Nothobranchius furzeri: one gene and its partner. The protein of the gene in region 1 purifies or fractionates together with the protein of each later gene. This does not show direct contact. Links are inferred from orthologs where the notes say so. Each region holds a gene or a part of one and is shown on either strand. Other genes may lie near its edges.

Evidence for each region.
Region 2: the proteins of cdc123 (region 1) and eif2s2 purify together in Homo sapiens (affinity purification with mass spectrometry; 4 studies listed by BioGRID and IntAct, counting the BioPlex papers as one, with this or other methods). This does not show direct contact. The link is inferred for Nothobranchius furzeri from reciprocal best matches to the Homo sapiens genes CDC123 and EIF2S2.

What each region holds. Positions count from the first base shown.
Region 1 is NC_091741.1:60,830,973-60,835,495, forward strand, and holds the start of cdc123 (translation initiation factor eIF2 assembly protein), read left to right. Parts: upstream 1-1,561; 5' UTR 1,562-1,566; coding exon 1,567-1,694; intron 1,695-1,845; coding exon 1,846-1,917; intron 1,918-2,131; coding exon 2,132-2,195; intron 2,196-2,883; coding exon 2,884-2,916; intron 2,917-4,523. Other genes in the region: nudt5 (ADP-sugar pyrophosphatase), read right to left, coding at 29-136, 206-258, 346-413, 542-592. UniProt on the Homo sapiens protein: ATP-dependent protein-folding chaperone for the eIF2 complex. Binds to the gamma subunit of the eIF2 complex which allows the subunit to assemble with the alpha and beta subunits.
Region 2 is NC_091755.1:32,895,440-32,899,706, forward strand, and holds the start of eif2s2 (eukaryotic translation initiation factor 2 subunit 2), read left to right. Parts: upstream 1-1,303; 5' UTR 1,304-1,446; coding exon 1,447-1,461; intron 1,462-2,177; coding exon 2,178-2,361; intron 2,362-2,454; coding exon 2,455-2,555; intron 2,556-2,683; coding exon 2,684-2,813; intron 2,814-2,896; coding exon 2,897-2,997; intron 2,998-3,133; coding exon 3,134-3,282; intron 3,283-3,360; coding exon 3,361-3,417; intron 3,418-3,510; coding exon 3,511-3,596; intron 3,597-3,773; coding exon 3,774-3,949; 3' UTR 3,950-4,267.

The DNA of each region.
Region 1 (4,523 bases):
CTAGGCTAGGGTAAAATCACTCGAGGACCTGCAGGAAACTCCAGAGTGCAGCTTCCAAGGGGAGGACGGAACTGCTTCACCATCACCACGCAGTCTTTATGAAGCGTTCGTTTCAGCAGAGCGATGATTCCTACACCTGCAAAGAAAAGATACAATTACAAACTTAACAATATAAACACAATGAATATCAAACAGGAAGACTAACCATCTGCTTCTGTGTTGGTCTGTCTGGTTGTCCTCTTCACAGTCTCCCAGGTTCTAGTGAACAAAAAAGAAAATATTTACACTTAATAGAACGATCAGGTTTTTCCTGTAAAGAGACATAAATGAAGGACTGAACTGTACCTGGTGTTTCCAGCAGAATCAACATATGTGGTCTTTTCCAGCTTCACCCATTGTCCTGCTGCCAAGAGCTGGAAGGCAAAAATAAACAAAGACGTGGTCCTAAATGAGACAAAAACTGGTCTGGAATCATTAAACTGACCTTATGACAAAATGCAGCTAAGGTGTAACAAATAAGAGAAAAAATAAGAGCACAAACCTCTTCTTTGACTATGTGTGGTGTCACTTTGGGCTCATCGGAGTTGCTCATTTTCTCTGTCGGATGAACTAAAACTGAAAGAAAGTAATAATAAACCACCACCTCTGTGAAATAAGCTGAGAATGTAAACAAACTACGACGTAATTAAATATGATTACGCTTCAGTCATCATCACGAGCGGCTCAGTTAGCTACAACAACTAGAAAAACTATCAATTCCCCTTCCATTAAATGTCTGCTTTAGGCTCGACTTTTGTTCTTTTTTATTTAACAACAGCTACGAGTTTCTGCCACACAAGTCGGAGTTTTAGTATTTTGAACTTTAACTTAACTCAAAATTTGATTGAGAGAAACTAAAGTTTACTCACGTGAAATCCCTGCCGAGTGTTAGCAGCAAAGAGCAGACAATAACAAGACGCCTCACTCTGAGAAGACTTCAGAGAGTCTCAAACGTCACTGTAGTAATACTGTATACCACACGTAATAAAATATCACGAAATTTAATAAAAAAATATTATTTTATTTGTTCGTTTAATAAGGAAGCGTATAGTATGTTTTAAAAGAAAAACAATTTTCTTTAAAACACAATTTACTGCCAACCTAGCACTTTACACTGAAAATTTAGATAGTTTTAATAGTAAATCGCTTTTGTTTTATTGATTACTTTAATATTTTAATGAACCATAATTATATCGAATGTTAGTCTGATCCATTTGTATTTACACCACTTTTCTAATTAAAGCCGTCCGTAAAATAATAAAGGATATAGTGAATAAAAAGAGAAAACCGTCTTAGTAATAAACGATCTATGTAAGAAATTGATGGTTACGTCATTTTACCACTTTGTGTACAACTCCCAAATGCTTCCCCCAAAAAACAACAAATTATGCTTCGCTCTTTTAAAATACGTAGTTGTTTTCCTCAATTAACTTACCAAATAAAGTTGAAAATGAATATAATAGAGTGCATGTAAAATAGTGTTGGGATTAAAGTTGGAGACTTTTATGACAATTGAAAAAAGATCCGATGATCCGGGTGATATTTACTGATGGACACATTTCCGGCTCAGGTTATTGCAGCATGAAGAAGGAGCAAGTAGCTAACTGTCAGTTTTCTGTTTGGTATCCGATATTCAAAAAACACACAATAAAAAGGTAAAATTTGCCAGTTCTAGGAGGAATTAAAAACAAGATATTGGTTTCTTCTTGCTGGATGGCCTTGGCTTTTTCTTTCATTTCGTTTATTTTCTTTCGGTCGTGTTTCATCTAAAATGAATTTGTGTTGTCTAAACGTTTTATTTTACAGTCAGATTCTTCCATTGCCTCAAAATGTGATAGACTATTTACTGGACGATGGGACGCTGGTAGTCTCAGGAAGGTATGAATCCACACGGATAAACAGTGTGTTTCTGTGAGTTTAAGATATGCTTTTTTTAGGATCAACATGTTAACCCTTGTTATTTTTCAGGGATTGAGCTAATCAGAAATGTGATGACGATTCTTAAGACGGTTTTACGACTTGTGGTGGTTTTTAGTTCGTGCTTGAAGCCTGTTGTTAGTTTATAATCGTGATTTTTCTCTTTTCTCCTCAGTGATCACAGCACACAGCCGACACACACTAACAGCTACAACTCAGACGCAGAGGAAGACGTTCAGGTGTGTTTACCACTCAGAGTTAACTTATTTTTAGCTTTTGAAATGCATAAACATACATCTGGATATGTAGATTGAAAATTCACTCTTTGTAATCTTAAACTCTTTGGATGGGAAATTGGTTTTAGTTGCCTTCCTTTTTTCTTTCACAAGCAGATCTGATGGATAATAGTTTTTGATAAGCTGGTTCAGTCTCCAGCCTGGACCACGGTGTGGATTTAAGACATCCTCAGGTGTCAGACATCAGACAATAGAGAAAAAACATCAGGTTCCATCCAAAAACCCATCAGACGTCTGACTAAGTAGAAACAGACTAAAAGGTCTCAGGAAACGTCTGTCAGACTTAAAGACCCTTTTGTCTGACAGACTATTTTCTGAGAGGTTTTGGTCTTTTAATGGTGGATTTGTTTATTTGAAGTCGTAGGCTATCTTTTCAGTAACTTCATCTTCGTTAACAGAGCCTTGTGAACAGATGTTCTGATCCCTGCAGTGGAACTTTGCAGCTCTTGTGAAATCCATTTGTTCTTTTTGTTAATCCATGTCCTCCTTTCCCGGATTGTGAGCTCCTTTCCAGGTTTCTGTTTAATCTCGTGTTTTTGTTTCCTACAGTGATATTTATTATTATGCATCTTTACAAATCTTTATCTTTTGATTTTTCTTTATTCTGTTTTACCTCTCTGCTCCCCTCTAGTGGTCAGATGATGAAACAACCACAACAGTCACTGTGAGTAGATTTGATTGCTCGAATATTCTGTTTTGAGCAAGAGTCAGTAAACGCACCACTTCCATTTAGATTTTTATCTCTTTTCAGATTTCTGAATAAACGAATTAATAAAAATAAACTAAATAAGACCTAGATACGTTCTCATTGGCCTCCGAATCCATACAAACGGGATATATGAGCATTTAGGCTGCAGATGTTTGTGATGGGGTGTGAATTCTGATGTTTTTAGAATTCTACAATTTAAATCTACCTGTTTGGTAATTACATCTCATCATTTTAAGTTAAATCGGCGGCTGTTATGCTATTTTGTGTTTCTATTTCCTACTGTTCTCTTATAAAGCTGTGAAATGTATTTGCCTCCTTACAGATTTCTTGTTTTATTTTTATTTATTTATTGTCCCTTAAAGAGACAACGTGTAGTTGTAACCATTGATTTCTGGAAATATCCATCAAAATCTTGTTGAAAAATATTGGTGGCTTTGTAACATATAACCTTAAAAATCAGGTCTAAAATACCTGGGAGTGGGCCTTACCCCCAAATTCCACTATCTCTGCTCCACTCTCCGCTGCCGCTCGCTTCCGAACTCAAATTATACTATACCCGCTCTACAACGGCTCCGCTCCGGTACAGAGACCCGAGGTGCGCAAACAGGCATGCGAGATCTTGCGATACAGTCCAAGCAATAAACGCGGAAGTTAGATCCAAACACCCGTTGTGTGGGAGAAGCATCGAAATGAACTGTTTAATCTGCCCATCATTTGTGTTGAGATACCAGCAGTGTTTGGATCAACAAAGGGTGACTACTTTGATAGTGGAAACTGTATTTATGGCTTACTTTTGTGCATTTAAAGTTCAACCGCCATTGATAGTTGTTAAAAGTTGTTAAACCTGTGCATATGAAACAAAAAAACACCTTTTGTTTATTTATTATGGAATAACAGATTTATTTATTATGGAATAACAGAAGTTGTGCTTGCTCCCTTTCCTGTTGGGCGGTTGTGATTTCTGTCCATTGACTGCGGAGGTGCCCTGGCATCCGGCAAAATTAGAATCGACCCTATTTTTGCCGGATGGCGGAACGGCGGGTGGCGCACTGCGCCGCACGGCCACAGTAGTGGAACAGCTCTGATTGATTACAGCGGGACCGTTTTTGCTGCGGAGTTCGTGCCAGAGCGGAGGTAGTGGAATTTGGGGGCAACTCTCTGGGCGACGCCATATTAGACACCATGTTTCATTCTACGGGAGCCCATGAGGACAAAATGCATTTACTGATTTGTAACAAATGGTTACAAGCTTTTGTCATTGTTAAATGTTGTTGTTCACAATTATCTCTTCACTGATAAAAGGGAGTCTGATGTGCTCATTATTTAGCTAAAGTTTGCCCTCCCCAAGGCTTTTTGACCCTAATGGGCGTCCGTTGGTACGGTCTTACTTCAACACAAAAATACTACTTGCTTGCAATGATTTAAGTATTTACTGCCCCTCCCCCCCCCCCCCCCCACCAGGAAAAATACACACTGTCACTTTAAATGTTTCAGATCAGCAAATTAATTTCACAATCAGACAAAAATAACCTGAAAAAATATAAAACATAGTTTTATCAAGG
Region 2 (4,267 bases), on another chromosome or scaffold:
TTGGGATTGACACACACAGTGGGTGAGGAAGTTGTGGAGCTGTGTGTTTGCTAGAATTTGAACCTCTCAGTTTTGTTTCTACCTGTTTTACCTCCTGTCGCCATTTTTTGTGACGTCTCCCTCCCTTTGAAAGCTTTCTCACCAGTGGTTCTTGCTATTTGGTGTAAATATCTCAAATGTGTCACCCTTTTGTACGTCATTCTGTAATTCCGCTGTTGCCGGGAGGTTCAGTTGAAAGTGTGAAGCATGCAACCATGGCGAAGTCACAATACAGATCACACTGCACGGCTACGAAGAGAGACATCTGGCCTAATACTTTGATCCTGCTCCGTCTGTTTTTGTCCTCATGAGGTTATTTTTTATTTTTATTCGATATCATTAAAAGAGAAAAGATAAATATATTAAACTATTGTCACACCATATTAATTGCAACAGTAGAAAGATGGTTTATAAAAAAATATAGAATTAAAGTCAACCCAGAATATTTGCATTTTGCATTTAAATCATTTAGGTTTTTGAAATCACAACGTATGTTTTTACATAGTAAAAGAAATGCAAAAGGACAGATGGACAAGCATGTTTGCATTTCTATGTTTTATTTATCCAAATGAGAATATTGTTTGCAGAATCATTAAAAGGTTTTCAATTATTTTTACTGTTTTTGAATGTTTTAAATTTTTCATGTGTGTCTACTTACACAAAAAACCTTTTTTAACCAGTAAAGGTTTCATAAAGTGTCATGACTGTAGTAACTGGACCTTTTCTCTAATTTACACAATTAAAGACGAGTTAGGATTGCATTTATAAATAGGCTCATTTTATTGGGGTATATACTCTAAAATAACTCAAATATTAACTTTTATTCTAGCAGCTTTGGATGCCAGAATTTCTGTTAAAAATATGACAAAATGTCAATTTCAGAGTTGGTCACTTAAAATAGATACTTTATGAAATTATAACAATTAACACTGCAAAGGGATAAGTGTGAGTGTGTGTGGACGAATGATACACTGTAGTGTAAAGCACTATGGAGGCCTCTGACTCTGAAAGACGCAGGTCATTTATCGTAAGCAGACGAAAACCGATAGATGGATGAAATATATTAAGTAGTTCACCTGTTAAGAGTAACGTGAGAAGAAAACGTATACCCATAAAACTCCACTGTCGCATCTGCCTTCAGCTGTGATGAAATAGGAGACAACGTAGAGTTAATAACAAGCTTTTACTTTTTTTAATTCACTGTTTTGTAACAATTATTTGCCGTACAGTGTCGATCTTGAACACTACTCAGGTGTCATGCCGTGTGTCGCAAAGTAAGTGCGTAACGCGACTTCACGCCTGCGCAGTGAGGACCAACGCTGATGCAAGAAATATTTCGGCGCAGAGGTGTGGAGCTAATCGAGTGATTCGAAGTGGTCTGACTTCTGTGATTTTTGGCTGGCAAACATGTCCGGAGACGAGGTAGATTATCCTACATGATCTGTTGTTTTTTCCCTGTTTGTTTTGTTGTTCAAGGGAATTTTCCGACCAGCTCGGTGTTGAGGATGACTTTGGGCCTCGGCACAGCTAGTTCTTTCCTTGTCCGCAGCAGCAGCTCTCACATGGCCGCAGCAGGGCGAACAGCGGCCTGAGTTGTCATATTGACAGGAAAACATTGTCCGTGCTGTGGTTGTCACACTAGTTCACATTTATATTCATCATAGTAACTTCATGGTCACAGATCTAAGAATCAAGCAAAGGCTTAAGTTAGCTAAGTAGCTTCTTGAAACTGAGGCTAACCGTTGATTTATGTTAGCAACTACGAGCTAGCGAGAATTAGCTCAGCAAAAATGTTCTGGTAGACACTTTATTACAGTTAATAAAGAAAGACGTGATGTAAACCATCCATGTAGACATCTCTGATTTGTTTATTCTCAACTAATTATCACAAATAATACACTGCGTTTTACATTAGCTGTGTTAATTTGTCATGTTATGACATGCCATTTTCTCGCTTTAGTCTGTGTGTTGGTTTTGGTCAACCGTGTTTTTAGACCCATTATTTGTTTCTTTACAGAATGGATTAAGGAAGATAAATAAAATATTTAACTCCTGGTTGACATTTTAGAGTATATTTATTTAAAGTGAAATAAAATTTGCACATGTATCATTGAACCCATTTTTCATTTCCCTTTTAGATGATTTTCGATCCCAACATGACCAAGAAGAAGAAAAAGAAAAAGAAGCCCTTCATGCTGGATGAGGAAGGAGGAGAAGGGGTCGCAGGAGAGGAGGCTAAAGAGGTGGAGGCGAAGGAGGCTGAGCCAGAGGTTGGAGACGACAAGGAGCTGGATATAGATGAGGATGAAGGCAGGAAAAAAGGTAAGAATGATGACAGGCGTTTCCCTTTGTTACTCCTCCTACAACACAATTACATCAGTCTGAAGCTTTTTGTGGTTTCTTTGTCTTCTTTAGAACTGTCAGATGATTTGAATGACCTGAACTTCTTCAACCAGAAGAAAAAAAAGAAGAAACCTAAGAAAGTCTTTGATAATGATGTAGAGGAGGGGTTAAAGGTCAGTCAGTGCCACACTTTTTTACTTCTCTACACCTACTGACCCTGGAGTTTATATTTCTCACATTGTCAATACTTTATTATTGTTATTATTATTATTAAATTTCATAATTTTCTGATCCAAACCAGGAGCTTAAAATTGAAGGGGAGCAGACGGAGGCCCCGGAGGAGGACAGTCTGGATTTGATGCTTCCCACCAAAAAGAAGAAGACAAAGAAAGTAGATTTTGATGAGGGCGAGCTTTTGGAGAAAGATGACGGTAAAAACTGAAACTACAGAAATTACTTTAACATAAGGACCAATAGGATATTAGTGTAAAATGGGTTTATTTTCTATTTGTAGCACTGGAGGATGAGGAGAGCAAAAACAATGATGGGATTTCATTCAGCCCCTCCACTGGTCCTGCATGGGCCGGCTCAGAAAGAGACTACACGTATGATGAGGTAGATATTTGTTAATATCTGCCCCTTACACTTATTTATACGGCTCTGTCTTCTTAAAACAACCTTTTCTTGTTGTTGTTCTGTAAATGTTAATGTAAAGCTTGGCTGGTAGATCTCATGTCTGTTTCTGTTTCAGCTTCTAAACAGAGTTTTCAACATCATGAGAGAGAAGAACCCGGACATGGTGGCTGGAGAGAAGAGGAAGTTTGTGATGAAACCACCTCAGGTGGTCCGAGTTGGAACCAAGAAAACCTCCTTTGTCAACTTCACAGACATCTGCAAACTGTGAGTCTCCCTGGCAACCAACCCTTCTGAATGAACTCTACTGGGGCTTTTCTAAGTGTTGTACTTTCACTGATGCAGGTTGCATCGTCAGCCTAAACATCTCCTTGCTTTTCTACTTGCTGAGCTGGGAACAAGGTTTGTTTTTTGTTGTGTGTGTTCACAAGTTTGAGAAATGGTTTTTGTCATTGAAAACAAAAAGAGTTTTTATTTGGTCTTATCTGTTATCAGCGGCTCGATAGATGGAAACAACCAGCTTGTGATCAAGGGCAGATTTCAGCAGAAACAGATAGAAAATGTGTTGAGAAGATATATCAGTAAGTTTGGCTTTTTTCTCGTTTATTATTAAGTTGACTGTAATTTTACACTTGTGTACACACACACTCATATATCATTAGAATGATGCCCCCAAATCGATAACTGAATGACATACGCTTTAGATTTGGACCTTGGTTGTTGTATTGCTACTGATACCAGTCTTCTCGCTCCTGCAGAGGAATACGTAACCTGTCACACCTGCCGCTCTCCAGAGACCATCCTGCAGAAGGACACTCGTCTATATTTCCTGCAGTGTGAGACGTGCCACTCCCGCTGCTCTGTTGCCAGCATCAAGACTGGCTTCCAGGCTGTGACGGGCAAGCGGGCGCAGCTCCGCGCCAAAGCCAACTAAAGGCCATGAAAAGTGGGCTCCCTCTCTCCAAAGCTGGGATCGGTCGCCCCCTCTGATTTAAATAAAAGGACTCTCTGAATCGAACTGCGGGAGGGTTTGGTTGTTTAGTGGTTGCAGCCTTTACAGGCAGGAAGTGAAAGAGGATCTAAGTCTAACTGAAGAGGTACAGATGCTGTAAGCAGATGACGTTCTCCAGATTTACTGTTGGATTGAATGCATTTGGTTGCGTGGCTGACAAACCCTCTGCCTCCCAGGTTTTTTTTTTTTTTTCTATTTTGCTGTGATTTAATCTCTTGAAGAAAACCCCACAGGTTGTCA